Pelodiscus sinensis: one gene and its partners. The protein of the gene in region 1 purifies or fractionates together with the protein of each later gene. This does not show direct contact. Links are inferred from orthologs where the notes say so. Each region holds a gene or a part of one and is shown on either strand. Other genes may lie near its edges.

What was found.
Region 2: the proteins of ANAPC13 (region 1) and ANAPC2 purify together in Homo sapiens (affinity purification with mass spectrometry; 3 studies listed by BioGRID and IntAct, counting the BioPlex papers as one, with this or other methods). This does not show direct contact. The link is inferred for Pelodiscus sinensis from reciprocal best matches to the Homo sapiens genes ANAPC13 and ANAPC2.
Region 3: the proteins of ANAPC13 (region 1) and CDC26 purify together in Homo sapiens (affinity purification with mass spectrometry; 4 studies listed by BioGRID and IntAct, counting the BioPlex papers as one, with this or other methods). This does not show direct contact. The link is inferred for Pelodiscus sinensis from reciprocal best matches to the Homo sapiens genes ANAPC13 and CDC26.
Region 4: the proteins of ANAPC13 (region 1) and ANAPC7 purify together in Homo sapiens (affinity purification with mass spectrometry; 3 studies listed by BioGRID and IntAct, counting the BioPlex papers as one, with this or other methods). This does not show direct contact. The link is inferred for Pelodiscus sinensis from reciprocal best matches to the Homo sapiens genes ANAPC13 and ANAPC7.

Annotation. Positions count from the first base shown.
Region 1 is NC_134720.1:1,061,035-1,068,419, forward strand, and holds the start of ANAPC13 (anaphase-promoting complex subunit 13), read right to left. Parts: upstream 3,017-7,385; 5' UTR 2,885-3,016; exon of another isoform or gene 2,869-2,884; intron 2,668-2,868; exon of another isoform or gene 2,519-2,667; intron 2,486-2,518; exon of another isoform or gene 2,027-2,485; intron 1,610-2,026; 5' UTR 1,583-1,609; coding exon 1,484-1,582; intron 1-1,483. UniProt on the Homo sapiens protein: Component of the anaphase promoting complex/cyclosome (APC/C), a cell cycle-regulated E3 ubiquitin ligase that controls progression through mitosis and the G1 phase of the cell cycle.
Region 2 is NC_134732.1:2,396,892-2,404,485, forward strand, and holds the start of ANAPC2 (anaphase-promoting complex subunit 2), read right to left. Parts: upstream 3,012-7,594; 5' UTR 2,975-3,011; coding exon 2,891-2,974; intron 1,526-2,890; coding exon 906-1,525; intron 1-905. Other genes in the region: microtubule nucleation factor SSNA1, read left to right, coding at 3,105-3,156, 6,429-6,628. UniProt on the Homo sapiens protein: Together with the RING-H2 protein ANAPC11, constitutes the catalytic component of the anaphase promoting complex/cyclosome (APC/C), a cell cycle-regulated E3 ubiquitin ligase that controls progression through mitosis and the G1 phase of the cell cycle.
Region 3 is NC_134732.1:1,349,545-1,356,850, forward strand, and holds CDC26 (anaphase-promoting complex subunit CDC26), read right to left. Parts: upstream 3,015-7,306; 5' UTR 2,951-3,014; coding exon 2,870-2,950; intron 886-2,869; coding exon 709-885; 3' UTR 433-708; downstream 1-432. Other genes in the region: PRPF4 (U4/U6 small nuclear ribonucleoprotein Prp4), read left to right, coding at 3,164-3,250, 5,991-6,168, 7,033-7,219. UniProt on the Homo sapiens protein: Component of the anaphase promoting complex/cyclosome (APC/C), a cell cycle-regulated E3 ubiquitin ligase that controls progression through mitosis and the G1 phase of the cell cycle.
Region 4 is NC_134725.1:32,240,324-32,247,831, forward strand, and holds the start of ANAPC7 (anaphase-promoting complex subunit 7), read left to right. Parts: upstream 1-4,495; 5' UTR 4,496-4,546; coding exon 4,547-4,764; intron 4,765-7,508. UniProt on the Homo sapiens protein: Component of the anaphase promoting complex/cyclosome (APC/C), a cell cycle-regulated E3 ubiquitin ligase that controls progression through mitosis and the G1 phase of the cell cycle.

The DNA of each region.
Region 1 (7,385 bases):
CCACCCACTTTTTAGTCAGCTCCTTCTTGACTTGGGAATGAAGGAATATCCCAAAGCTGCCATTCTGGTTTTTAGCTTGCCAACAGCCAATCCTATGTCAATGGCTCAGGTCTCATGGGGTCTTTAGGTCCACACTCAGGCCTTTTCTACTGTTAGTATGAGCATCTGCAGGGCAAGCCCAGGAAACCTCAGAAGTATGCTGTAAGGAACTCTTCCTCCACTCTGGGCATGCGCCTCAGTCTCCAAGAGTAGTTACATAGTTCCTCCCTCCACCCACTACCCAAAAAGGAGTGACGCTATCTAGTTAATTGACCATAAGATGAAACAAGTACCAGCACTGAAGAGGTTTCTGTATTCAGCCAGCTTAACGAGGCACATCCCAATAAACTCCAACAGGTAGGAGAGTTTGGGCTTCCAGAACTTAAAAAGAGAACCACAGTTCCGCACGGTGGAGATCGGATCATTCCCTAACGCTGGAGTACACCTGCAGAGGCTAAGTGAAGATAGTGAGTTGCTATGCATATGTCTGTGATAGGAGACTAATTCCCTTCAAGTAATCTTCTCACAAACTTTGTCTAATGTAAGAATAAAGAGAGGCTTGAAGGTTTTGAGTATGCAAACGTGGGAGGGAAGAAATCTAGCAGGATGAGTGGCCTACAATTTGGAAGTCCATCACTACTCTAAGAAGGGATCTTTGCAAAAGGTGATGCAGGTACAAAAGCCTGAAGTACATACACTCCGTGAGCAAAAATCATGGCTGGCTGAGAAGTGTCTCAACATGAAAGGCAGCCTGTCAAAATAGAGTGGACGAGGAAGGGCTTTATCCAGTTAATTAAGGAGAAAATCTCAAGATTTATCAGGCTTAAATGAGACGTTTCCGTTAATAACAAGGCTGTATCTATGCCTAGAGACAAGGGGCTGTGAAGATCCGGGTGTGCTATCAAGTAATCTGTGACAGATCAAAGATAGTTGCTAAGTGGACCTAGGAGTTTTCCCTTCTTCACTCTTGGCTAGCAGTACTGGAAGTATATAAGTGAAGGGGAAGTCTTTGGGTCCTCCCCTCTCCACTCGGGCCAGCAGCATAGCACTTGAAAAAGCTGAGGAAGAGGTTAGTCCTGGAACCCGCTCCTCACAGACTGGTGGTACTAGGAGTATGAGGGGAGGATAGAAAGAAACATTCCACCCTCCAAAGAAACAGGTAGCTCGCCTAGATTATGGGAAAGCATTTTCTCCTTCCAAAGCGAGGCAGTCAGCTGCAGGGAGAGAAGCACTTATTCCTCCACCAAGCCGGAGATATGCAGAGCTGGAAGAAATCCACCACCCCGCATAAAATAAATGGGAAGCTGGCCCCTGGAGTGAGGGAGCATCATTCATACAACTGTCAGAACTGTAAGGCACATTTCCTATGCCATGCCTCTGTTAGGAGGTTAAAGGGGGTAGACACATAATATAGGCTTATAAGCAGCTTACTGTGTTCACCTACCAAAGGTATTGCTACATCCTCGTATGGTAATTTATCTTCTCTCCATGCATCATCGATCAAATCCAGGATTCTTCCATCCCTCTGCACTTCACTGTCCATCTTTGCACAATTTACATGCAGATAGATCTGCGACATAAAGCAGAAATTATCCTTGATATCTAGAACCCAAAAAGATGGAGCTTAGATTCTATGCTTGCCCTGGCCATGACTCCTTTCTTAAATAGCTTAATGGCTGTTTTACAGTCAGTAGGGCATGGCACAGTTGTTTTTCATAGTTATTAATACCCTCCATTGTTTGTATTGCCCTATGAGACGCATGAACATGTTTCTTTTCCTACCAATTCAGTTTTTGTCCATGCAACAAACTAGCACATGTACGTGGCTTTGCTCAGGTTCCTAAGGTGTTCAGGGCAGGGAACTGGGAAAGTGGGGTGGGTAAGAGTCAGAGTGGGAGGGTAGGGAGGGGATCTGGCCAGGGGACTGTGGTGTGTGTGTGTGTGTAGCGGGGTAAGCAAAGAGGCTGAAGCTCCTTGAGTTTTGTACCAGGGTCACTTGCTCTTCCTCTTCTTGTCCCTGCCAGAGAACGAGAGCAAAGTGCACAGCTCGTCTGCCCCGTCCTCCCCAGCCAGAGGGAGGAATGCAGCACACTGTGCACTTTCCCCGTGCTCCCCAAAGGGAGCCAGCAATGTCCTCGTATTAATCTGGGGGAAGATGCGCCTCCCCTTGCCCTCCCTAACAGGTGTCTGCGGGGTAGGGCTGGGACCTGCCTGGTGATTCTCTCTCTTCTCAGTACGGTGGTATGAGAGTCAATCCCATTCCAGGCGCATCCCATTGTCCTGCACAACCCGCCCCTGCCCTTGCTTTAAGCTGTGCTCAGTGGAAGCGGCGTCCTGGCTTCGCTGGCCCTCGCTCTCACGCTGTAGAAACAGACAGACTCTCTCAGACCTGTGGCCGATTGTTTCCCTGCCTGTTCAGAAAGGGGCTGACATCGCCTCCCACGGGTGACGGGCCACGGCCCGGCCCCACCGCAAACACCTGTTGTGTCCCCGGCGGTGTCGGCCCCACACAGGCGAAGGCCGGCTGTGCTCCTGCGCCCAGGGCACCCCCCGCAGTGACCCCTCAGAGCATCTCCAGCGCACCCCCCGCACCAGCGCTGCGCAGCTACCCGGTCGCCATGGAGACGCCCCGCCCAGGGGCGGGGCACCGCCCGCCAGGCTCCGCCCCGCCGGGCATGCGCAGTAGCAACCCGGCACAGCGTCCCCTCCCCCACCCGCCTCCGGGCCCGGGGAGCAGCCCCCCCGCGCGGGGCTGAGGGGCCCCAGCAGGGGGCCGGGGCGGGGGCAGCCCTTCCCCCCCCACCGCGCGGGCCGGCCCCTCCCGCCTCTGGGCCTAGCCCCGCACCTGACACCCGGCGCGCGCGCCAGCCCCGTCCCGCCCCGCGGCCCTAGCAGCGGACCACGTGACCGGCGACTCTAGGCCGCGCCAACCATAGAGAGGCGGCGGCGCGAGTCCGCCGAGGAGAGAGAGGCCGGCCCGGAGGTAACGGCTCGGCGGGGGCGTGTCCTGGGTCGGACTGTGCCCGCCGTGAGGCGCTCACCCTCACCCTGTCTGACTGTGCCTGGCGGACAAGGGGCTGTCGCCTGTGCGGCGCTGGCTGTCTGCTGAGGTGACTGGAGGCGGGGCTCTGACTGTTGTTGGCCTTGTCTGACTGTCCCTGGGTGGCTGTAGCTTTTTGTCCGGCTGTGAGCCCGTGGCTGTTCCTGTGGGGCTGGGTCAGACTGTACCCTGCTGTGAAGCTCTCGCCCTTTCTGTGTGGCGAGGTGACTGTAGCCGGGGGTTGGCCGCCGTGTCTGACTGTCCCTGGGTGACCAGGGGACTGTAGCCTTTTGTCTGTCTGTGAGCCCGTGGCTGTTCCTGTGGGGCTGGGTCAGACTGTACCCTGCTGTGAAGCTCTCACTCTTTCTGTGTGGCGAGGTGTCTGTAGCCGGGGGTTGGCCGCCGTGTCTGACTGTCCCTGGCAGACAAGGGGCTGTCGCCTGCTGCCCGCCTGTGCGGTGCTGTTTATAGAATCATAGAATACTAGGGCTGGAAGGGACCTCGAGAGTCATCGAGTCCAGTCCCCTGCCCTCATGGCAGGACCCAGTACTGTCTAGACCATCCCTGATATTATTGCTGTCTGTCTGTCTGTCTGCCTGGTGAGGTGACTGTAGATGGGGGTCTGACTGTGGCTGGCCTTGTCTGACTGTTCCTGGGTGACGAGGGGACTGTAGCCTTTTGTCCGTCTGTGAGCCCGTGACAGTTCCTGTGGGGCTGGGTCACACTGGGTCAATGTCTGACTTTACCTGGCTGTGAGTCTGTGTGATGAGGTGACTGTAGCCTGGAGTCTGGCTGTGGCTGTTCATGCAAGGCTCTGTGCCCCCACCCCACTGGGGCTGTATCTTCACTGCAGGGATGTGGGGAAGGCACATGTTTCAACACCTTAGGACTGGAATTTGCACCTTTATCACAAAACGTGTTGATGAGTAAGTCTATAAACTGTGCTTTGGGTGCCCTTGTCACCCTGGAACTGCAGGTATTTCTGTGGGCCCCAAATTATGAACAAAAACTGAATTGGTAGGAAAAGAATGTTGTGTTCAGACTATGGACAAACCCCCCAAGAACCTGGGAAGTTCCCTTACTGGTAGAGACACCTTTTCAGTCCATCTTCCATCTAGTCTGGTCTCTGACAGTGCCTGATACCAGATGCAAAACTCCATAGTGCACTAAGTTGTGCAACAGTAGCACTTAAGTCATTTTCAGCACTGGTTCAGGAAGGCTCAGTGCAGGCAGTGTTTCAGAGTAACAGTTCAATATCCCAGTAGTATCTGGGACTTTTAAAGACTTACTTTCTGCCTTGGGTTTGACTTAAAAGTTGAGCTTGGTTTTGTTAATTTTGGATACTAGGGGGCTGAGCTTGGTTTTGTTAATTTTGGATACTAGGGGGCTGAGCATTCTCAGTGGAGAGGCTGTGGGTTCCTCCATGCTTGGCCCAGTTAGCTGACTTTAGGGGTACGGATGTTAGATAGTGATTAATTGATTAGTCGTGTAACTGCATCAAATTTTAGTAGTTACACAACTATTTGATTGTCCCCGGGGGCAGGGTCAGCAGCCAGTGTGCTCCGGCCCCACTCACGGGGCGCCCTCCTGCTGCCCCACGCTGTTCCTTCTCTATCGGAGGCAGCAGCATGGGGTGGCAGGCGGGAGCTGGTCTGTGAGGGGAGCCGATTTAAAAATTGGCTCTCGATGCAGATCAGCTCCCACCTGTTGCCTTGCGCTGCTGCCTTTGATACAGCAGAGGTTTATCGATTAATCATGTATTCGGCTACATGTTGACATCCCTATTTCAGGGCACATTTCAGAACCTGCTTTAATAATTGCCATTGTAAGGTCCGATGTCTTGCACTTCAGGAGATCTAGAAATGAAGTCTATTTTATGGCCTTGGAAAGTTGGGAGACACCCTCCCTCTTTTCAGTGGTAAAACTTTCAAAGGAGGAATGCAGAAGTGCCTATCGAGTAGTTGATGGAAATTCCGTCGACTACTCAACTAGTAAATTAATCATTATTTAACATCCTTAGTGTACACGGACACATTCCATTATTCTGAATATCATCCTGTGTACTCAAGCCTAAAATTCACTTCAGCGATGCTTCTTGCACTTACAGTTGGGGTTATACTTAAGCATTTTATTGAATGCTTAATATCTGACGCTGCTTTAGCAGCTGTCGTCTTGTATTGTTAAAGCATTAATTTTTAGCTTTATGCCTTCTGCAAGCTTGGAAGTGCACTCTGTAGTTTTGTAAAATGTCTGCTACTAGAACCATATCAAGTGTCAGAAAAGAAAAAAACAAGCAATATGATACAGTGATGTAATTATAAGGTCCAGTAGCTCGTTACCTTTCAAAGCTAGAAACACCTGTGGCAGGTCAATACAAATGCTTTCAGCATCAATACACTTTTCTAAGCACAAATCCAGGACCACTTCAGGAGATGGGGGGTAGAGGAGGGAAAGATGCTTGAAGGCTCTTTTCTATCTGTCATTGAAAAACTAGGGCTGCGTCTAGACTGGCATGATTTTGCGGAAATACTTTTAACAGAAAAGTTTTTCTGATAAAAGTATTTCCGCAAAAGTGCGTCTAGATTGGCACGGATGCTTTTGCGCAAAAAGTGTTTTTGTGCAAAAGCATCCGTTGTCAGTCTAGACGCGATTTTGTGCAAGTAAGCCCCGATCGCCATTTTAGCCATCGGGGCTTTTTTGCGTAAAACAGTTCTTCCCTGTCTACACTGGCCGTCTTGCACAAGTATTTTTGCGCAAGAGGGCTTTTTCCCGAGCGGGAGCGTGAAAGTATTTGCGCAAGAAACACTGATTTTGTACATTACAAAGTCAGTGCTCTTGCGCAAATTCAAGCGGCCAGTGTAGACATCTGGCAAGTTTTTGCGCAAAAGCAATTGTTTTTGCGCAAAAGCAATTGCTTTTGCGCAAAATCTTGCCAGTCTAGACGCACCCTAGTTGTTTTGTTAGGAACTTCTTACTTATGGGGTCTGAAGAGTTGGCATTTTCTGTTTTGTTTGTAAGAATTGTGTATTTTCCATTGATGTCAAAGAGAAAAAGTAATGGATTTTGCAAGCTGATGCAAGTGACGAATGAAAGGGAGGCCACCTGACATATTTTGAACCAACAGCAACCTTGATGGCTACTGGTTGTAAGTCAGGGCCTCAGGTGTGACTTCAGAATCTCCGATTTATTTCAGGGGTAGTTTTCTGCTCTGTGTTATACTGGAGGTCAGAGTAGGTGGAATTGATGAAACCACTCTTCTGTGGAATTGCTCTCCAGACTTTAAGTTGTCACTTAAAAAATTGGTTTGAGCCTGTATGATCTGAGCTCTGGTATTTTGAGGAGCTGGGTGTAGGGGAGTCTGCAGCTTAGAGTGTAAGGTAGGAGGATGGATGTGGATTGCGAGTGATTAATAATGAGAAGTGAGGGAGTGGGGCAGAGCTTGGCTATAGCAGATGTTTGCCTGGGCCTGTGTTAATGAAGCTGGAGGAGCAGTGACTTGAGGCTTTGATATGGGGAGAAAACTGATGTACTAGTAAGCTCTCTAGTAATGCTTGTAAGTTGGTTTCTCTCTTCACTTCAAAGCCTCAAGGGGGTGCGCTAGGGCTGGAGTTCTCGCTATTTTCTTTTTGAGGCTCTCCCAATATGCTAGAAAAACTCGGTGGGGCCCTCTTATGCCACAATAACTGTGGGGTTTTTAAAACTTAAACAACAAATAGTCTGGTAGCACCTTAAAGACTAACAAAATATGTAGATGGTATCATGAGCTTTCATGGGCACAACCCACTTCTTCAGATGACAGGAGTTTTAGAAGTCCAGATCCAAGAATAAATAGGAGAAGGGGGAAGAGGGGAGAAAAGGAGGGGAGGGGGGAAAAAAGAGAGAGACAGTGAGTAGATGGTTCAAATAGTTACAAGAGACTGATAAGAACAATTAGCACCTCCATTGTTTAGTTGGTTAAGTCATTAGGATGTGGAAGATAGTGTGCAAGCCAACCTGTTCAGACTATTTGCATAAGAATTAAACTTGTGAATGAAGTTAAGTTCCAGCCCTTCCCTGTGTATTTGGCTTGTGGAATTGGCCTGAAACAAAAGGATGACTTGGAGATCCATTAATGAATGTCCAGGCAGATTAAAGTGTTCTCCAGCAGGTTTTTGTGTATTGCCTTTTCGGATATCTGATTTGTGTCCATTAATTCTTTCCCATGGAGACTGTCCAGTTTGGCCAGTATACATTGCAGTGGGGCATTGCTGGCATAGATTACATTAGTGGATATACAGTTAAATGAGCCTCCATTTTGGTGGCTGAT
Region 2 (7,594 bases), on another chromosome or scaffold:
ACAATAGAACACTCTCGGATTCTAAACAACAGACTACAGGATCGCGTGATATAGCCCAAGTCATATCAAATATCAAACTTCCAACGTAAAAAAACCTTCCAAACCAGGTTGCAAGGTGAAACTGCTGAACTGGAATTTATATGCAAATTTCATACCATCAGCATACCATAATCTCTCATTACAATCAGTAGTGTGGAGGCAGGAAAAGGGAGTAAGGGAGTTTGTGTGCAGCCATCTTGGTCTTGTTAGCAAGAGTCTGGGCAGAGGATCGGTGGGTAGGAGGGGTGCAGGCTCTTGGAGGGAGTTTGGATGCGGGAGGGGTTCAGGGTGCATGCTCTGGGAGGGAATGTGGATGAGGCCCGGATGCAGGCTCTGGCCTGGGGTGGGGGAGGAAGCCGCAGGAGGAGGCAGGCTCTGGGAGGCAGTTTGGAGCTTGGGGGCAGCACCAGGGTAAAGGGTGCCATGTTTACCTGGGAGGCACCACCCTCTGGCAGCAGCTCCTAGTGCACGGTGCTGCTCCCACTGCTCTTCCCGCCCCACCTGCCACTCACATGCCTTCCGCCCTGCGCATCCTTTGGTTCCTCCTGCTGCCCCTAGGTGAATTAACACACCCTGGAAGCCCCCATCAGCAGTGCAGCGGGGCTAGAGAGGCTTCCTGCCGCTCACTCTGCGTGGCTGCCAGCACCTCCGAGGGGCCTGGGAGGGTGGGGGGAGAAGAGTGGGTCTCTGTGCGCTGCTTGCAGTGGGGGCCCCCCCAAGGCATTTAAAATCACCCAGGGACAGCAGGCGGGGCTGGGGGGCAAGCATAGGGTGGCGGAACTCAGGGAGACCTGAGCCAGCAAACGCGAGGGGGAGGGGGGGAGCGCAGGCCCCTACAACTCGCCACCTTGCTGTAAGATACGCACAGGATTTCACTGAGCTGCTGGAACTGCTCCATGGCTGTGGGACACCAGCACTGCTCTCTCTTACTGCTGCAGCCCAGGCACTGCCGGCCGTCTCCTCCGTCCTCCGGATCGCTCTCTGGCTCGTTCTCACTCATGCTGCTCTCGCACGCCTTCACTCCGCCTTCACCCTTCTTCCCCTGGCGCATGTAAATCTTGAAGGTGCGGCTGTAGAACTGCTGGATCATCTCCTGGAACGTCTCGGTGGTGGTGAAGAAAAGGATGGCTTTGAACATGGTGTAGACTTTCTCTCGCAGCACCTGGGAGCCTGTTCCAAGGAGCAAGCCCATTCTGGTCCATTTTTCCAGAAGGTCCAAGCTGTTCAGATAAGGGTCGAGGCGGCACTTGAGCAGACAAAAGGCATCCAGGAGAAGCAAGGAGCACTGTGGCTCTTCCGCCGTGTTTTCATACTGGCCAATACAATTCCAGAATTCAGGAGCTATATTGGCCTGCAAGTCTGTCTGTAAAACTTCAGTGAACCATTCTTCCAGGACAGAGTGCAAGTCATAGCGCTGCAGCACTTCCACGGCCGCCTGCAAGTCACTGTCCTTCAGCAGCCCTGCTGAACCTGATCTGGGGCCTGCCTAAAGAGACACACCAAGTTAAACACAAGCCTGGGCACCTACAAATCACTGAGGCTGGGCTTTGCAAATCCACCTCAAAGAACAGCCAGCAGGCTATGGATGGAGCATGTCCCCCACTGGTATTTGGGTCACGTTTCAGGCGGCTGTAGGTTACCAACCACCTGCTGTTGGTGGAGAGGGTGGGGTCTCAATCCTGCTGATAGGAAGGTGTTCACATCATGAGCACCCACACCGTGACTGGCATCAACTGCTCCCCTTGCTGACAGCGGCCATGGGAGCTGTCAGGTGAGCAGCCTATTTATTGAAGAGCTCAAAGCCACAATGCCAGCCATTCAGTGCACAGAAGTTTCCATAATTTGCTCCCTCTAAACCAGCGAAAATACAGTGGCTCGGAACAGGCAGATTCAATTTGGAAACAATATGCATTTTCCTAGAAAATGTTAAGTGAATGAGCTTCCAAATTAGAACATTCTAAGAATAGGGGTGGCCCTGAATCCCTGCGGGGATCCCAAGGCTCCTCTCTTGCGACCATCTTTGACTTGGCAAGAACAAAAGCTAAGGCAATTCCCACACACCAGGGTGAGAATGCACTTAAAGGTGCGGGCAGACATCCATTCCTCTGGTTTGCGACCTTGCAAGAGCAATTGGATAGAAACAACATTGAGACCCCCAGGAAGTTCAGCCTTAAGTCTGCACTCAGAAGAGGTGCAAAGGCACCACCTTAAATCTGCTGCCCAAGTGATGCCCTAACAAAACTAGAAAATCGAGCTGCCTTATCTGCAACCAACACCCTCTCCGGGGCCCACCCGAACTGAACTGTCCTACGCACTTAGGGGTTCTCAGGACAAAAACGGGGCGGGGGGGTTGGGGGAAATGGCTGGGATCCGGGGTGGGGGGCACGGCTAGGCCTGTCTGCAGGGTGGGGGGCTGTCTGGGGCTGATTAGGAGGCCTGGAGGGAGGCTCCATCTGGGGGGGGGCTAAGGGGGCCTGCATGGGGGGGGCTGTGTGGGAGGAGGGGCTGCATGGGGGGGCCGTTTGGGGGGGCTGCATGGGGGGGCCGTGTGGGAGGAGGGGCTGCATAGGGGGTCCGTCAGGGGGAGAGACGGGGGTCTACATGGGGGGGCCGTGTGGGGAGGTCATCGGGGGGGAGACAGGGGGGTCCGAGGGGGGCTGCATGGGGGGTCCGTCGGGGGGGGAGACAGGGGTCTACATGGGGGAGCCGTCTGGGCGGGTATACATGGGGGGGGCCGTTTTGGGGGGCTGCATGGGGGGGGCCGTTTTGGGGGGGGCCGTCGGGGGGCGAGACGGGGGGGTCTACATGGGGGGTCCGAGGGGGGGCCTGCGGGGGGGCCGCTCTCACTCACCAGCCCCAGCGCGGCGGGCGGCACCAGGCCGGTGCTCAGCGCGTGCCAGGCCGCCGACAGCTCCGGGCCCGGCCCCGCCGCCATCCGGCCCGCGCGCCAGGGGCACGTGAGGCGGGGGCGGGGCGAGCGGGCGGGGGCGGAGCCGGGCGAGGGGCGGGGCGAGCGGGGCGGTTGGGGCGGGGCGGGGCGCGCGCCGGGCCGGGTTCGGGCCGCCATGACTCAGCAGGGGGCGGCGCTGCAGAGCTACAACAACGAGCTGGTCAAGTGTGAGCGGGGGGGGACCCGCGGGGGGGAGGGTGCGGGGGGGGCCGGCGGCCAGCCCCCCCCCCCAGCCCCGTGCGCTGCTCCCCGCCCTCTGTGCGCTGCGCCCCCCATGCACCCTGGCCCCCCCCGTCTGTTCTGTGCGCCGCCCCCATGCACCCCGCGCCCCCGTCTGCTCTGTGCGCCGCCCTCATGCACCCTGCCCCCCCGTGCGCCGCCCTCATGCACCCTGCCCCCCCGTGCGCTGCCCTCATGCACCCTGCCCCCCCGTGCGCCGCCCCCATGCACCCCCCGTCTGCTCTGTGCGCTGCCCCCATGCACCCTGCCCCCCCGTGCGCTGCCCTCATGCACCCTGCCCCCCCGTGCGCCGCCCCCATGCACCCCCCGTCTGCTCTGTGCGCCGCCCCCATGCAACCTGCCCCCCCGTGCGCCGCCCCCATGCACCCCCCGTCTGCTCTGTGCGCTGCCCTCCATGCACCCTGCCCCCCCGTGCGCCGCCCCCATGCACCCCGCGCCCCCCGTCTGCTCTGTGCGCCGCCCCCATGCACCCCGCGCCCCCCGTCTGCTCTGTGCGCCGCCCCCATGCACCCCGCGCCCCCCGTCTGCTCTGTGCGCCGCCCCCATGCACCCTGCCCCCCCGTGCGCCGCCCCCATGCACCCCCCGTCTGCTCTGTGCGCTGCCCTCCATGCACCCTGCCCCCCCGTGCGCCGCCCCCATGCACCCCGCGCCCCCCGTCTGCTCTGTGCGCTGCCCCCATGCACCCTGCCCCCCCGTGCGCCGCCCCCCTGCACCCTGCCCCCCCCGTGCGCCGCCCCCCATGCACCCCGCGCCCCCCGTCTGCTCTGTGCGCCGCCCCCATGCACCCCGCGCCCCCCGTCTGCTCTGTGCGCCGCCCCATGCACCCTGCCCCCCCGTGCGCCGCCCCCATGCACCCCGCGTCTGCTCTGTGCGCTGCCCCCATGCACCCTGCCCCCCCGTGCGCTGCCCTCATGCACCCTGCCCCCCCGTGCGCCGCCCCCATGCACCCCCCGTCTGCTCTGTGCGCCGCCCTCATGCACCCTGCCCCCCCGTGCGCCGCCCCCATGCACCCCCCGTCTGCTCTGTGCGCTGCCCCCATGCACCCTGCCCCCCCGTGCGCTGCCCTCATGCACCCTGCCCCCCCGTGCGCCGCCCCCATGCACCCCCCGTCTGCTCTGTGCGCTGCCCCCATGCACCCTGCCCCCCCGTGCGCTGCCCTCATGCACCCTGCCCCCCAGTGCGCCGCCCCCATGCACCCCCCGTCTGCTCTGTGCGCCGCCCCCATGCACCCTGCCCCCCCGTGCGCCGCCCCCATGCACCCCCCGTCTGCTCTGTGCGCCGCCCCCATGCACCCCCCGTCTGCTCTGTGCGCCGCCCCCATGCAACCTGCCCCCCCGTGCGCCGCCCCCATGCACCCCCCGTCTGCTCTGTGCGCTGCCCTCCATGCACCCTGCCCCCCCGTGCGCCGCCCCCATGCACCCCGCGCCCCCCGTCTGCTCTGTGCGCCGCCCCCATGCACCCCGCGCCCCCCGTCTGCTCTGTGCGCCGCCCCCATGCACCCCGCGCCCCCCGTCTGCTCTGTGCGCCGCCCCCATGCACCCTGCCCCCCCGTGCGCCGCCCCCATGCACCCCCCGTCTGCTCTGTGCGCTGCCCTCCATGCACCCTGCCCCCCCGTGCGCCGCCCCCATGCACCCCGCGCCCCCCGTCTGCTCTGTGCGCTGCCCCCATGCACCCTGCCCCCCCGTGCGCCGCCCCCCTGCACCCTGCCCCCCCCGTGCGCCGCCCCCCATGCACCCCGCGCCCCCCGTCTGCTCTGTGCGCCGCCCCCATGCACCCCGCGCCCCCCGTCTGCTCTGTGCGCCGCCCCATGCACCCTGCCCCCCCGTGCGCCGCCCCCATGCACCCCGCGTCTGCTCTGTGCGCTGCCCTCCATGCACCCTGCCCCCCCGTGCGCCGCCCCCATGCACCCCGCGCCCCCCGTCTGCTCTGTGCGCTGCCCCCATGCACCCTGCCCCCCCAGTGCGCCGCCCCCCATGCACCCCGCGCCCCCCGTCTGCTCTGTGCGCCGCCCCCATGCACCCTGCCCCCCCGTGCGCCGCCCCCATGCACCCCCCGTCTGCTCTGTGCGCCGCCCCCATGCACCCTGCCCCCCCGTGCGCCGCCCCCATGCACCCCCCGTCTGCTCTGTGCGCTGCCCTCCATGCACCCTGCCCCCCCGTGCGCCGCCCCCATGCACCCCGCGCCCCCCGTCTGCTCTGTGGGCTGCCCCCATGCACCCTGCCCCCCCGTGCGCCGCCCCCATGCACCCCGCGCCCCCCGTCTGCTCTGTGCGCTGCCCCCATGCACCCTGCCCCCCCGTGCGCCGCCCCCATGCACCCCCCGTCTGCTCTGTGCGCTGCCCTCCATGCACCCTGCCCCCCCGTGCGCCGCCCCCATGCACCCCGCGCCCCCCGTCTGCTCTGTGCGCTGCCCCCATGCACCCTGCCCCCCCGTGCGCCGCCCCCATGCACCCTGCCCCCCCGTCTGCTCTGTACGCTGCCCCCCATGCACCCTGCCCCCCCGTGCGCTGCCCCCCATGCACCCTACCCCCCGTCTGCTCTGTGCGCTGCCCCCATGCACCCTACCCCCCCGTGCGCTGCCCCCCATGCACCCTGCCCCCCATCTGCTCTGTGCGCTGCCCCCCATGCACCCCGCGCCTGCTCTGTGCGCTGCCCCCCATGCACCTGCCCCCCGTGCGCTGCCCCCCATGCACCCTACCCCCCCGTGCGCTGCCCCCATGCACCCCGCGCCTCCCGCCTGCTCTGTGCGCTGCCCCCCATGCACCTGCCCCCCGTGCGCTGTCCCCCATGCACCCTGCACCCCCCATGCGCTGCACCCCACGCCCCCGTCTGCTCTGTGCGCTGCCCCCCCATGCACTCTGCCCCCCCGTGCGCCTCCCCCCATGCACCCCGCGCCCCTCGTCTGCTCTGTGCACTGCCCCCATGCATCCTGCCCCCCTCTGTGCGCTGCCCCCATGCACCCTGCACCCCCCCTCTGCTCTGTGCACTGCCCCCCTATGCACCCTGTGCCCGCTCTGTGCACTGCATCCCCTCCCTCCCCATACTCCCCCACACTCTCTGCACTGGCCAGGTGGGCCCCACCTCCCCGTGCAGGGAGGCCATGCAGGTGCCTCAGGACATGTCTCGCCTGCGTGCGTGCTAGAGGGATGGGCCCTGAGCCCCTGGCCACAGTTGGCCCTGACTCGCCTCCTGCCCCAGGTATCGAGGAGCTGTGCACCAAGCGGGATGAGCTGAGCCAGCAGATCCAGCACGAGGAGGAGGAGAAGAGCAAGCTGCAAAACGACATCCGGCTCCTGACCGAGAAGCTGGCCCGCGTCAACGAGAGCCTGGCTCGCAAGATGGCCACCCGCAACGAGTTTGAGAAAACCATCGTCGAGACTGAGGCCGCCTACACGAAGGTATCTGGCCGCCGGGGGCTGGATTTCTCCAAGGCAGCTGCCCGATGCGTGGGGGGTTGGGTGGTACTGCCGAAGAGGCATGGCGTCTCTCCAGTTAGCAAGGCCTCGTGTAGAACCAGCTCTGAACTGCAATCAAAAGGCCAGGGAAAGCAGGGCTTTGTGGTGTGGCTGAACCAGAACTAGGTTCAACTCACTCGGCCAAAATCCTGTGGTCATTTACAAAAGTGAGTTGAAAGGTGCCACTGCACGTGGGGGCTGCCTTCCTGGGTATGGCACTTCCCACCCTGGGGAGCACTTAGCTAAGGCCTTTCCACAGCTCTCCCAAAAAGGGTACTGCTGTGAGAAAACCACACCAGGCACTGCACATGGGACCTCCAGCCCCTACCACGGCCCTCTGCCACTTGGCTGCGTTGCGGGGGGACATTGGGAACTGGGATTCTTGGCCTCTCCTCCTGGTTCTGGAAGAGCACTAGGGCCTAGTGGTTAGAATGACTGCTAGAGACAGGGTAAGCAAGCAGGGGCTTGGCACATTCGTTTCAGAAGGCAGTTTGGGTGAGGCTTAGGGGTTCGAGTTGGTGGTTTTGATTCCAGCTCCACCCAAAGTGCCCTTGTGCAACCTCAGATTTCTTTCTTCTCTGTAAAATTGCAGTTCTTTGAGAGCCTCCTGCATTGCCTTGTAGACTCTCAGCTCCAATCCCAGTGCATCATCTCTCTTCTTCCGGTCCGTCACCGCCCACTGGCATTCCGTTCATGGCACACAGTGCCTTAGCAAAGCCTGGGCCTAGCACAGCCTCATGGCCCCAGGGAGGACTGGCTGCCCTCTCCTACAAGACAGAATCTTGGGGGGGGGGGGAGTAAGATGCAGTGATCTCCCCAGGGAACACTTCAGAGCAGGGGCAAGGCTCTGTGGTTGTGTTGTATGGGAAGTGTCGCCTTTGCTGCTGCAGTGCTTGAGTTTTGCCAGCA
Region 3 (7,306 bases), on another chromosome or scaffold:
CTCAGCACGGCAGTACGAAAGCAGCTATGGTGTGATGACTGAAATGAGTTGAAGTCTAGCTCATTTCTTAGTAAATTAGCAATGCATGCACCAGCCATTGCCACTGGCTCCTTGCAGCACACCCGCAGGAGCCAAGCACTTGACAACTTGCAGAGTCTAGGGAAGCTTGCCCTGCCTCTCCCTAGTGTGGGGAGAAACCAAGTCTTTCACATACCAATGCCCAGTCCATTACACTGCACCATTTGGAGCTGGGCTTTCAAGAACACTGAAAGGACTGCTCTAGGGAGGCAGAGCTTTGCCTCTGTGCCAATCCCCATGAGGCAGTGGCCATGGTTGACTCCTGTTTTTGTCCCATGCAGGAGGCCAATCTGCTGTTAAAAATTTTCTGTTTGCCTTTAGGAGCCCCATGTGCATTTTCTGATATGTTGAGTATCTCATTTAAAAAAAATATTTATTTAAAACAAAGTGGCTGGGCAGAGAGATCTCTGGAAATGCAGTAATCAGTCAAGTTAAAACACACCCACTAGTCTTTGAAAGAGGCAAACACTTTCCCTTATTGAAGCCCGAGACTCGTTGGCAAATCCGGGCCAGTCCCAGCCAGCTCTAGAGCTATGCAAACAGCCTTTGAACATCTTTGCCAGAACAGTCTGGAACGCAACCTCAGAGTCCAATGCTCAGCTGCCCACAAAGTAGCAGGCCCCCTAAACTCTAGAATTCAAAGCTTCCGAACTGGGAGGAACGGTTGCTGGGTTTGGGTTGAGGTTTGTAACCGATCCGGTCATTTATCATTTGTTCTCGGCTCTTATGGTCATTGCTCAGACCAATAGCTCCTTCTTCCTCGTTGGCTCCCACTCCATCCACCTCTTCACGCTGCTTCTTACGACTCTGCCAAAAAAAAAAAAAAAAAGCAATCAACTAAAAATAAGGACAATGGAAAACTAGAGCTCTTCCATCAAAGGGATCTTAGCAGTGTCGAGACATCCATTTCAGTTCTGACCACTGACCTCAAAACTGTGAAGGCAGGAAAAATGGTAGATAAGCTGATTTCATTCCAGGAAACCTGCTTACAGACTGAATAAATTCCCTGGGCATTTTGCATAGCCATAAGGAGGGAAATACATTGTTCTGTAAGAGTTAATACACAAGTCACGGCATTCAGACACCTCCCTACCTACATAGACACAAACGGCTACCAATTCACAGAGCTGATGCTACCGTCACACAGGGGCACAACAAGTTAAAGGACTTAGTCAAGCCAAGTCTTATACTCCACTGTGACGGAAATTCAACTGCTCAGGATGTTTAGAGAAACTAACTCAAAATGGGGGGACGGAAGGAAGGTTGGGTGTGTGATAGGTTGCCCCCTGATGTAGTAGGATACTAATAAGCCCCAACCTATTCTGCCAGCCTGGGCACCCTTTAATCCTGTCTTGCTGAGTCAGACTCTTAAACCTCCTCCAGCCTGCGCCCACACACAGGGCCACATCCAGTTGCAGAAAAACACAGACACTGAGCTCAGCAGTGGGAAGACTCAAGGAATTTGCCTCATCACTCAGGTACCCACCTTCCTTGGAATGCAAACCCAAGAGGATCTACCCTCTCTCAATGTGGCATGCAGAGCCTCTTACCAATTTCACAAACTGCGTTTCACAAGAAATAAAATCAAGTTTACTGACTAGAAAGGGTAGATTTTAGAGTGAATGTAAAGGACAGCACACAGAACAAAGATTACTGAGCAAGTAAAATATACAGACTCGATGCACTAAAGACACAGGCTACAAATAGTACTGTCTCACCCTAAATGTTATCTTGGGCAGATTGCAAAGATTCTTGAAAGTCAGTTACAGTAGCCTGCAGCTTAAAACTTCAAGTATTACTACTCAAAGAAAGTCACCCTTCTAGCCTGGGCTCAACTTGTTGCACCTCAGTTCAGTCCTTGTTTCCAGATGTGTCTGGGAGGCAGAGAACTACAATGTCATTCTCCTGCCTCATAGCTTTTGTATATGCCATTACATCTGCCAATGTAAATACTGTGTTTGACCCCAATAGCTGTAGGTCAGGGATGAGCAACTATTTTTTGCTAGGGGCTACTTAAAACATTTTGTAAGTGGCCTCAGGCTACTCCAGAAGGGGCGGGGCTTCCAACTGAAGGGGCAGGGCCAGGATGTTTCTGGGCTTCCCCACCCTCAGACCATGATTGGCCTGGGGGTGGGGGAGCCCGGAGGCACCCATGCCCCTGGCACTGGGAGGAGTCTTCCCGCGGAGGCTCTTTTGCCCACCCCTGCGGTTGGTGCATGTATACAGATGGGCTCTGTCTACACGGGCAGTTTCTTGTGCAAGAACAACTGTTCGTGCGCAAAACCTTGTCTGCTGTCTGCACTGCGCACGTGTTCTTGTGCAGGTAAATTCACAGCACAGCGTCGGAAAACAGCTTCTTCCGGACGAGTTACTCCTGTCCCCTCGAGGGACGAGCCCTCTTGCGCAAGAGGCCGGTGTCCACAGGCAACGGCAGAAGCCCTGTGGCTAAAACGGCCATGGGAGCTCCCTGCGCAAGAGCGCCCAGCTGCCAGGGATGCGCTTGTGCGAAAGCGCCCGCCGGTGCAGAGCGGCCTGGAGCTCGCGCAGCGATCGCCCCGCAGGGACATCACGGCCGCTCCCCCCCGCCCCTCGGGGCCGCCTGCGCGTGCGGGAGAGCGGGGCCTCGCCAAGGGGGCCGGGCCGGGGGGGGGGGCGGGGGGCCGGGGGAGCCGGGGGGGGGGGGCCGGGCGGAGGGAGCCGGGGGGGCGCCGGGGGGGGCCGAGCCGAGCGGGGGGGGGGGGCCGGGCCGGGGGAGCTGGGGGGGCCGAGCCGGGCCGGGGGGGGCGCTCACCTCCAGCTCCTTCCGGGTGCTCTCGAACTCCTCGATGTCGTCCAGCTTCAGCTCCAGGCGCGTGGGCTTCCGGCGCAGCATCGCGGGGGGGCGGAGGGGTCAGCGAGGCGCGACCAGGGCGGAGGGGGGGAGCGCGCCGATCAGCTCCCGCGCCCCGCGCCGGCCCCTCCCGTCAGGCCCCGCGCACCTTCCGGAACGCCGGCCTGCCCCCGGAAGCACAAGCGTCCCGCTCCTCCCCGGGACCCGGAAGCGGAAGTGACGCCTGGCCCGGGGCTCTCGCCCCTCCGGACTGACATGGCTTCCTCGCGGCCTCCCGCCCTGCGCGGCGCCCCGGGGCGGGCGGCGCCTTCTCCCCAGCCGGGCCCGGCTCCCTCCCCGCGGGTAGGGCCCGCTCGGCCTCCTCTGCCGCTTCCGCCGCGCAGCAGCCCCCCCCGCCCCCTCCGCACCGGGCGGCCCTGGCCTTTGTGGCGGCTTCTCTCTTAAGAAAAGGAGCCGCCGCCGCCTGCTCTGCGAGCCCCGCGCTTACCTCGCCCGGCCCGCTTCCTGCCAGGGCTCGCTCCGAATGTCCAGTGCCTGGGGGTTACTTGAGCCTTGAGCGCAAGGGCTACTCGGGACCCTTTCAGGCCTCTGGGTACGCGCTGCTTGGCAGCCCTCCTGGGCACATGCCCGGCACAGTCCATTCAGACCCATCTGTAGGACTAACTTTTTCAAATACCGTCTTGAGTTTTGTTCCACCAAAGGATTGAGAGCCACACGCCAACTGGGGGAAATGTCAAATAATTGGGACCATTGAGGGCACTCTCATTGCAGAAACAAAAAAGCATGTATATGTGCAGTTATGCCAGAGGTATTATGAGATCATTGGAAATGGATTCTTTATTTAGGGAATAGAATGTTATAATGTGGTAACTAGTTGATTTGACTTTTGTGTGTATTTTGGAAAAATTGGGGAGTAAAGTGAGGCAGTCAGGGTGTCAGTGAGGTGGATAATAGAGGGGAAGGAATTTGCTGAATCCTTCATGTTCATAGTTACATTTCCCAGTAGTCTGAGATCTTTGTTTTTGAAGGTCTTAATTATTTGTAAGGAGTGTAATTTTGTTACACATAGTAGCTGGACTCTATTGAAAACATTGTCTGCCTTAATCGTGATCTGCAAATTGGTTTGTGTTCTTTATGCACTACAGGCAGTCCCCGGGTTACGTACAAGATAGGGACTGTAGGTTTGTTCTTAAGTTGAATCTGTATGTAAGTCGGAACTGGCGTCAGCCGCTGCTGAAACTGATCAGTTTAAACCGCGGCTGAATCTGGACGCCAGTTCTGACTTACATACAGATTCATCTTAAGAAACCCAGGCGTCCCCAAGTCAGCTGCTGCTGAAACTGATCAGCGGCTGATTCCAGGAAGCCTGGGGCAGAGCAACTCTGCCTCGGGCTTCCTGTAGTCAGCCTCTGGTCAGTTTCAGCAGCGGCTGACTTGGGGATGCCTGAGGCAGAGCAGCTGGGGTGCTGCTGGGTTGCTCCAGTAGCGCGGCTCCTCAGCGCTACTGGAGCAACCCAGCAGCACCCCAGCTGCTCTGCCCCAGGCATCCTGATTCAGCCGCTGCTGAAACTGACCAGCAGCAGCTGAATCAGGACGCCTGGGGCAGAGCAGCTGGGCTGCTGCCGGGTTGGTCCGGAGCGGCGCTGCGGGACCAACCCGGCAGCCCCCAGCTGCTCTACCCCAGGGGTAGGCAAGAAAAGCCTGGTCTGCTGGGGGGGGGGCACTAGCTGCACCTCCCCCACCCCTCCAGCAGACCAGTAAGACGGGGGTGGCTGGACCACCCAAGTCCTCCACGGCTTTGCTCCATCTCCCTGGCCTGCTGACTTGGGAGACGCGGAGCAAAGCTGCAGAGCACGCGAGCAGCGGGACAGTCCAGGCGCGCCGCGGCTGTCCCACTGCGGGCGTGCTCCGAGGCTTTGCTCCCCATCTCCCTGGTCTGCTGGTCAGGAGACGGGGAGCAAAGCCGCGGAGCACGCCCGCAGGGGGACAGCTCAAGTGTCCCGCTGCGGGTGTGCTCTAAGGCTTTGCTCCCCGTCTCCCTGCAGACCAGGGAGACAGGGAGCAGCTTTTCTCGCCCCAAAGGACGGGGGCGGCGGACCGCGGCGCATCTGGGTGTCCTGTCCTCCGGGGCGAGAAAAGCCCCGTTCGTAACTGCGGATCCGACATAAGTCGGATCCGCGTAACTCGGGGACTGCCTGTAGTCCAATGGATAAAGAATGATTAAAAAGGATGGATTTTTAAAGTTTGTTTTTTCTGCTTGTTTTTTTACATGAGAAATTAAGGATGTATCTAAGTTAGAAGGCTCCCTGATGGAGAACTTGTGAAATTATGCAATTGTACTGTCATAATTATGACATAAGATCAGAGATGCTTGAGCTTTTAAATTGAGAAAGGATTACTTTTTAAAATTTTTCTTCTGTTTACTTTTGATAAAAGCTATTTAGATTTGAAGGCTAACTAATGTTTTGAATAATGAAATTCCTTGGTTCAAAATACCTTATACTACCCAGAAGTCCCCCAGCAAAGCCAGGGAAGGGCAGACTACATTCTCAGGGTTTGTTTCCACATGGACTTATTTAGGAACATCTCTGTGCGCATGCTCAAATTCTGGAGCATTACATGTGGTGTAATGCTTTAACTGAATCCGGAGGAGCAAGGCGTCATTGGTATTCCAGAATAAGAGCATTCACACAGATTTAATCAGCATCCTACCTTAATCTCAATTAACTTTGAAGTGTAGCCCCAAAGGAAGAACCTAGCAGGGGAGCAAAAGGCTAAAGAAAGCCTGAGAGCATATTTGGTAACATCATAAAGAAGCAGAAAAGATCACAAGTCCAATTTTTAAAAACATCCTTGGCTTGCTGCCCTCTAATTCTACTTTAACACATTTTCAGTGAGGAATAGTCTTGCTGTCCAGATGAATCTTGTATATAAAATGTAAGGGCTTCTTGCCTGGCTGACCTTGTTAACTATTTCTCACTGGGGGATGCTGTCTCCTGCAACTGAGGAGATTGCTGAATTGCTGCTTTGTATCTGAATAAATATCAAATGAGTCTTTTGAAATCCTGCCTTCATTCTCCAGGGAACAAAAAACAAACTGTTGGAGGACAGCGATGCTCCACTACCCAAGAGATCCCATATCTTCTATGGCAGTTTGGAGGAGAAGGAGAGGGAGCGTCTTGCCAAAGGAGAGTCAGGACTGCTGGGGAGAGAGAGAGTGAGAGCTGCAATTGAGGCAGGCAATATTAACATAACCAGTGGTAAGTGTGCGCTCTGCGTTACACTCTCTTCTTGTTTAGGGCCCTGTGACATCCACATTAACAAGAACACAAACAGACTCATGGAATCAAAGCATTAATGTGGAAGACTGCTCTCCCTGGCTCTAGGGCTGCAGAGCAGAGCTAACTGCAGTGGCATTTAGGAGAATCAAGCTGCTCCTAATTGGAAGCCTCCTGATTTTGTCTGTGTCTGTGTTGGGGGGCAGTTGCCAGGTTTTCCCCCTCACCCTGCTGTATACCAAGTCCAACTGATGTAGGGTGAGAGGGGTAATCATCTGTGTACCATCCTCTGACTCAGCTGTCTGAAAAAGTGTGAGACTTAGAGCTGTTTAGAAAGAAGATGAATCTTTGATTAAGTTTGAATAATGGCCAAAGCAGTAGATGCACAAACTCTGCCCAGCTGAAAGGCATGTAGGGGCTGTGAAATCCGTGCCAACAAGTACATAGAGGAGAGGGAATTCCACGATTCCGTCTTTGGTCCTGATCATGGCCCCATTGCTGGAGAAGAATGAATGAACTTTTTAAAAATCCACAGAAATCAAACAGAATTTGTAGGCCCTGTGGCTTGCTGGCAAGTTGCCAGAAGCCTGAGTGCTGCGCTGAACCAGCTGCTGTACTATAATACAGAGGCTGGGGCTGCAGAGTCTACAAGTCCTGACAGCCTACGTTTTGAGCAGGGTGTCTGGGGGAAGATGGCCATTGGTGGCTCGAATGTCCTGGCCTGAAACAGTTGAGAGGATAGTTTTTAAATTGCAGATAGCTGTTAGTGGCTAGAGTTGGCTAAACTCTTGCTGCTCTAATTACATTTGTTGTTGCTCTATTCTCATGGCTCTGTTTCTGGCGCAGGTGAGGTCTTTGATCTTGAAGACCACATAAGTGAGCGTCAGGCAGAAGTTTTGGCTGAATTTGAGCGCAGGAAGCGTGCCAGGCAGATCAATGTTTCCACCGATGACTCTGAAGTCAAGGCGTGCCTACGAGCTCTTGGAGAGCCCATCACGCTCTTTGGAGAGGGGCCTGCAGAACGCAGAGAAAGGTGCTGTGCCTAGCTCTTTGAGTGGCTGATTCCCCATCCCACTCAAATCTTCTGTCAAATTCCTTGAGGTGCTGAGTGCAGCAAGTA
Region 4 (7,508 bases), on another chromosome or scaffold:
GTTGATTGATGGCTCAGTACATTCAAACATATGTAGTGCCTAGAGACCCAATGGAGACTGAGATTCCATTGTACTAGGCACTGTGCAGAAAAATTCTCTGGCCTAAAGAGTGTAAAGTGTTAAGTAGACCAGACACCTATCCAATAAGAGGAGAAAGAAGTGACTTGTCCAAGGTCACATAGGAACAGGGCCGGCTCTAGGCACCAGCAAATCAGGCAGGTACTTGGGGCAGCATTTCAGGTAAGCAGCTGGCGCTGCCCCTGGCAACGCCTAGCCCTGCCCTGCTGATTTTAAAGGGCTGCGGCCTGGGAAACGCCGTGGCTGTGCAGCCAGCTGGCACCAATGTGCACCTGGAGCCTGCTGGCCACCTCGTCTCCTCTCCTACTCCTCCCCTCCCCGGCAGTCGCTAGGCTGCTGGCACAAAATGGCTGCCGGCCAAAAGACCAAGGAGACTTAGTGCTCAACTGCTCTCTTGTTCCTATTCCTGCACTCACTCTTAAAGGGGACATGCTGTTTTATTTTTTTGTTGTTGTTGTTCAACAACTTTGGTCTCCCCCCCACACTTTTTTTTTTCCTTCAACAGAATTTTTTCCCGGTGTTTTTTTTGGGTGGGGGAGGGCAAAAATGTTTTTGCTTGGGGCAGCAAAAAACCTAGAGCCAGCCCTTCATAGGAAGTCAGTAGTGGAGCAAGAAGTAGCACCCTTGAAAGAGATCCTGACTCCAGTGAATGAGTCCAGGATTTCACTCTGCATTCTAGTCCACTACCTTAAGCACCAGTTCATGCTACCTCTCTGCTCTAGAATGCCAGTCTTGCATTAAAATGTAACTCCTCTTGATTGGTAACAAAATAAAAAATATATGAGGCCTGATCCTGAAGTTTGGTGCAGACTATAGTCCCTTTAATGAGACTTTTGCCTGAGTAAAAACTGTAACATGTTAGGATTATTGTGCCTATAATATTACCTGGTGGAACAAGGTGTAGAAAGTTGCATTAAGGTAACTGGTGATATAGGTGTTTAGGATATAGATGTTAAAGGGACATTTCACATGACAGCTACACATTGGCTGTGTCTAAACTGCATCCCTTTTCCGTAAAAGGGATGCAAATTAGACACATTGCAATTGCAAATGAAGCGGGGATTTAAATCCCCTCCGCTAAACATGTCTGCCGCTTTTTTCCGGCTCGGAGCTTTGCCGGAAAAAAGCGCCAGTCTAGACGTGGATCTTTCGGAAAATAAAGCCTTTTCCGAAAGATCCCTTATTAAAATAAGGAATAAGGGATCTTTCGGAAAAGGCTTTGTTTTCTGAAAGATCCGCGTCTAGACTGGTGCTTTTTTCCGGCAAAGCTCCGAGCCGGAAAAAAGCGGCAGCCATGTTTATGCAAATGAAGCGGAGGGGATTTAAATCCCTGCTTCATTTGCAATTGCGATGTGTCTAATTTGCATCCCTTTTACGGAAAAGGGATGCAGTCTAGACACAGCCGTTGTGTGTCTCTCAACTCCCCTCCCCTCTTCAATGTACACTTGCCTCTTCCTCCATCTCTGTAGGGCCATCCTGAGAGGGCCCGAGGCAGCACCCTCCGTCACATCTCCCATCTCTGCCCTGCCCTTGCCCCCTGACCAGCATAGCCCAGGAGGATTATGGGGTCCTGGTGTGCAGCAGCAGGGGTCATCTTTCCCCCTACTCACCACCCTGGGGCTACAGGTGTCTGCTTCCTTCTGCTATGGGGAGCAGCGGGCTGCAAGAAGGTGGCAAGATGGAGTGGAGTAGGCTGTTGGGCTGCTCCAACTCCTGCTGTTGTGAGGGAGCAACCCCTGCTGCTGCCATGCTAGGTCCCCATAATTCCCTGGTCACTCCCATCCCTAAGATGGTTGAGGTGACCTCCACAGGGCCCCCAAAAGTATGGGGGATCTGGGCTAGCTGCCTGCATTTCTACTATAATGTCCCACATCAGGGAGAGCTGCAAGAAATTCCCCACCTCCAAAAAACTGTCACCATGCTGCTCCAAGTTTAACATGGGTGATGGGTAGAAGTCAACATCACATAAGAACAGCCATACTGGGTCAGATCAAAGGTCCATCTAGTCGAGTATATTGTCTTCTGACAGTGGCCAGTTCCAGGTGCCCCAAGGGAATGAACAAAACAGGTAATCATCAAGTGATCCAGCCCTTGTCACCCATTCCCAGTTTCTGACAAACACCATCTCTGCCCATCCTGGCTAATCGCTATTGATGGACCTATCCTACATGAATTTATCTAGCTCTGTTTTTGAACAGTCCTGGCCTTCACAACACCCTAACAAGGAACTGCACAGGTTGGTTGTATATCAGCTAGTGTGCGAGATATCAGTTAATTGAATAGTTGAGTCATGAAATCCTGTTGGTTATCAACTATTTTATAGTCCCCAGGGGAGAGGCCAGCATCCAGTGTGCTCTTGGTCCCACTCCTGGGGACCCCCCAACACCCGCGCTGCTGCCTCTGTATCAGAGGCACTAGCATGGGGTGCCAGGCAGGAGTTAAAAAACAGATCCCCACATGGACCAGCTGCCTACCAGCCTGCTTTGCAGCCTCTGATAAAGAGGCAGCAGTGAGGGGTGGCAACAGCTACTGTCTGTAGGAGGTCCCATGGACAGAGGCTGCTGCAGCGGTGAGGATGGAAAGGCTGCCACAAAGCAACCTTGGTCCATGGGCAGCAGGGATTGGGGTCTGAACTCCCTGGGGGCAGATGCTGTTCAGCCTCCCATGGAGCAGCCTCTCTCTGCAGTAAACTTGAGCCTGCCATGGACAGAGGCTAGTCCTCAGCAGGAGACCTGAGGTGGGACTGAGCTCCCCTCAGACAGAGGTGGAACAGCTTCTGTCCATGGGGAGCTCAGACCCCCTGCAGTCAGGGGCTGCTGCTAGGGTTGCCAGGTGTCTGGTATTGTACTGGACAGTCCGGTATTTGCGCGCTCTGTCCGGTAAAAAAAATCAGAAAATACCGGACATGTGCAATGTCTGGTATTTTTTGATTTTTCCAGCTGCGCACCAGACGGAAGCCTGGCATGGGTGGGGGGAGCGGATGGGAGGCGGGGCCATGATTGCTGCCAGGAGCCCTCAGTTGGTTGAGTGTGAGGAGGAGGGGAAGCCTGCACGGGACAGGCAGCAAGTGCCCAGGTCAGTCCCGCTCCCTGCCAGCCAATTTGCTCACCCCTTCCTGGCTGGTTCTCCCTCACTTCCCCGGCCAGCCCTCTGCACCATCCCCCAGCTCTGCTTCCCACTGGCCCATTCCTCTTTCTGATCTCCCGCAGCCAGCGCCGCTGCATCCCTCCCCTTGCCAGCTCTGCTTCCTGCCCCCCTTCCTCCCGGCCAGCGCCACTGTACCACCCCCCGCCAGCTGTGCTTCCTGCTCCCCCTTCCTCCGGGCCAGCCCCGCAGCCCCCGCCCCGCCCCCAGCTCTGCTTCCCACAGCCTGTTCCTCTTCCTGATCTCCCCCGGCTAGAGCCGCTACATCCCACCCCCGCCAGCTGCTTCCTGCCCCCCTTCCTCATGGCCCCCAATCCGCCCCAGCTGCACTTCCCACCCCTCCTCCCCCAATATCCCTCGGCCAGGCCCGTTTTGCCCTATCCCCCCTGCTTCCTCCCCCATCTCCTCCGGCCAGCCCCGTTGCAACCCCCATTAGTTGTTTCCAGGACCCCCCTTCCAGGCCAGCACTGCTCCCTTCCTGGCCGGTACTTCTCCCCCCCCCCCCATGAAGCGTTTTATTTTTAAATGACTCCCTGGTAACCCCTAGCAGTGATCCAGGTTCTTGGAAACCCCCCCCTTTTTTTTCTCAACAACTTTGGTTCTCCCCCCCCTTTTCTTTCCTTCAACAAAATGTTTCCAGTTTTTTTTTTGGTGTGTGTGTGGGGGGGTCGGTATTATTGTTTCAGCCATCTGGCAACCCTAACTGCTGCCAGTGCATGTTCTCAAACGCTGGGGGGGAGCCTTGGGAACCAGATCCAGACAAGCCAGAGTCCACTTCCAGCCCCTGGGCCCGAGCTCCCCACCCTGCATTACTGGGCGCGCCTAAGCTTAAACTACAGGGAACGTGCCCAAGACTTGCCGCCTACCCCGGCGAGAGCGCAGCGCTGCTGGGACTCTGTCGGCGATTGAACTACCCTGGGGGCCAGGCCCAATGCAGTGCCCCCTGCTGGCTCAATGGCAGCGCTTCCTTTATGGAAGGGACAAGAAGCAGGCGGGCCCAGACACGACGCGCGTGCGAGCAGGTATCGCATTCACTGTGACGTCACTGTCCCCTCACTGTGCCGGGAACAGGGAGGTCCCCGCAAGGGCTCCGCCGCGAGCTAGCCCGCGACACGAGGCGCCGTCAGAGCCACCTGCGCATGCGTAAAGTGCCTCAGGCTCCTGGGGCGTCTACTTTTATGCCTGATGGAAAATGTCATTGCTTTGATGCCTATCCGTTCAGCGGCGGGGTGGAAGCTTACACCTGGTCTGGATTTACCTGGGGGAGCCCCAGCGGAGAGGTTTTTAAACGGAGGCACGAGGTCGGGCGACCGGAAGAAGCGCAATGGACCCCTGTGTGCGAGGCCCCTTCTGTGGCGCCATTTTGGAGTCGCTGCGGGCTGAGGAGCTGCTGTCGCTTCCGTCCCCGGCCGGCGCCCCCTGCGCCTCCCCGCGCTTCGGGATGAGCGTGGTGGAGCATGTGCGGGAGATGGCGGCTGCGGGGCTCCACTCCAACGTGCGGCTCCTCAGCGGGCTGCTGCTCACCATGAGCGGCAACAACCCGTGAGTGCCGCGGGGGGCCGGAGCCGGGGCTGAGGCAAGGCCCCTCTCGGGGCCCTGCGACCTGGGGCTGCCCCAGGCGGAGGCGGCAGGGTGGGGGGTGCTGGACGGGGCGGGGTCTCGCGGGTGCTTTGTGGGGCCCAGCGGGACCGGGCTTGGGGGGCTGCAGCTAAGAAGGCGGCGTCGGAGCAAAGGCCCATCCCGCCCAGTGGCCAGTGCCAGGTGCCCCAAAGGGAGTGAACAGAAACAGGGGTCGTGACACGAGCCCTCCCCTGTCGCCTCTTCCCAGCTTGTGACCGAGGCTAGGGACACTCTCCCTGCCCAGCCTGTCTAATCGCCATTGATGCGCCTGTTCTCCAGGAATCTATCTAGCGCTTTGTAAAAACTCTGTTATAGGCACAGGCATCCGGTGGCTTAGGCAAGCTACCAGCTTGGTCCACCCACACTCCACCCCAAGACTATCTCGGAGCGGAGTGTTGCTGCCTTCAACACCTGCCCTCCTGGTGCTCCCCTTCCCTCTCTTCCTCTCCTTGGTGCTTCAGGGAGGCTGAGAAGCATTCGGTGCTGCCCCTCTTATCCCCCATCCCCAGTGCTCCGGGGAAGCTGGGGAGCGTTTGGCCTGTTGCCCCTTCTCTGGGGAGTGCTTCCCAGGTTTCAGCAGAGGGGGTGCCTGCCTCCCCCAGCACCAGCTTCACCAGCCACTCATGGTTATAGGCGAGGTCTACACGGAGATGGTTTGGTGACAAAAGTGAAAACCAATCAAACTAATTTTTCTGTCTCCCATTGTCGCTATTCTATGTCCACGCTGCTAGTATCCTGTCAACTAACAAACAAAGTGATGTGGGTAAGCACGCACACACACACACCCCGGTGTAGTGTTTTGGGAAGGCAGAGTTTATCCATGCACTTCTTGGGATTCCCACCTAACTCTGTGATCTGTCTGTGCTGAGGAATATCAAAGCAGCTCAGCAGTCTCTCCAGCCCTGTAGCAGCAGTCTGCCTGATGCCATGTTTCTACCAGGGCAGAACAGAATCACTCCAATGATTTGTTCTTTATTTGTTCCCCAAATGGTGAAGCTCATTGACCTGTCACATACTTGCCAGAGTTTTGAAAGTGGAAGGATGTATGCATGCAGGCAGCAAAGATCGCAAAAGCCTGAACAGAGCTATCAGGTCAGGCATTGTGGGATACTGGTGAAAGCCATTTCAACAAAACAAACCACAGTGTCCACACTGACTCTATGTTGACAATAGAGGGAAGGGAAGAGACAAAAATCTCTTACAAGGCTGAAGTTTTTTTGTTGCCAAAACTGGGTGACAAAATTCACATTGTAGTGTAAATGCTCTCATTGTTTCATTGCCAAAAGGCAGCTTTTGGTGATAAAATGTGCCAGTGTAGACAAAGCTATAGTCTTGACCTTCACAGCATCCTCTGGGAGGGAGTTTCTTCGGTTGACTGTGTGGAAAAAAAATACTTCCTTTTGTTTGTTTTAAACTTGCTACCTATTAATTTTATTAGGTGACCCCTAGTTCTTGTGTTATGGGAAGGAATAAATAATTTCTCATTCAATTTTTCCACACTAGTCATGATTTTATAGACCCAAATCATATCCCCTTATAGCTGTCTGTTTTCCAAGCTGAAAAATCCCAGTTTTATTAATCTCTCCTCATAAAACACCTGTTCCATAGCCCTGCTTTTTTTTCCCAATTCCAATATATCTTTTTTGCAGTGAGGCAACCACATCTTCATGCAGTATTCAAGATGTGTGTGTACAATGGATTTCTATAGAGGCAATAAGATTTTTTTCTCTCTTTTTCTATCTGTTCTTAATGATGCTCAGCATTTTGTTTGCTTTTTTGACTGCCTGTCAGCCGACCGTCAGGGCAGTGAGTGGTGTGTGTGTGTGTGTGCTATACACCCGAGACTTCAACTGCTGAGACTGGGGTCCCTTGCAGCGGGCAACCTGGAGGTTTATGAGCGCCCCAATATGTTTGCAGGGAGAGCTTATTACACTTCAGATTTTAGCTGCTAGAATCTGTGATTCCTTCGCAGCGGGCAGCCTAGGGGAGGCTGAGGAGTGCCCCAACGGATCTGCCACCTGGGAGTGACACAAATCCAAATGCCCAAGCTCTCCCTATATCTGTCCCTTAAGACCGGCTGAAGTTCTTTTAAATTGTGCCTGGTTCTGTTACAGCAACTGAAGGAGTCAGGTTAAAGCTTAAACAGTTACAGGTTTATTGAGGAAGCTTATAAATCATATGTTTGCAATGGCTATTGTTCTATTTCTTAACTGCTAGCAAAATATAGATATTAAAAATGGTTACAAAGAAGATAAAGATAGGAAAAACAAAAATAATAGTACCAAGTAACAGCTTAACCTTTAAAGAGCTCTTAGTCTGTGTACACTTAAGACAGAGGACCACATCCAGGTACAATTTTTACCCCCTTCTGTGCCTCTCGGCTCCAGCGTATCATGCCAGAGCCGGTCCCTCAATTCCTAGGAAAGACGAAAATATGAGGTGGGCGTCCCCATAGAACCTCGGGAGGTCAAACACCTAACCCGACCAGCAGGTAGAGGGTAGATTAACACTCAAAAGTGAGTGTGCTACTGTACCCATCTTTATACCCATGGGGTCACGTATTTCTCTTTCTTATCTGTGATGCCAAATAGTGCTGGTCTGCCTTTTGTGAGACCAGTTCTTACAAGGGAGTTGTGAACTTAATTTACACTTGTAAGAGAGAATTG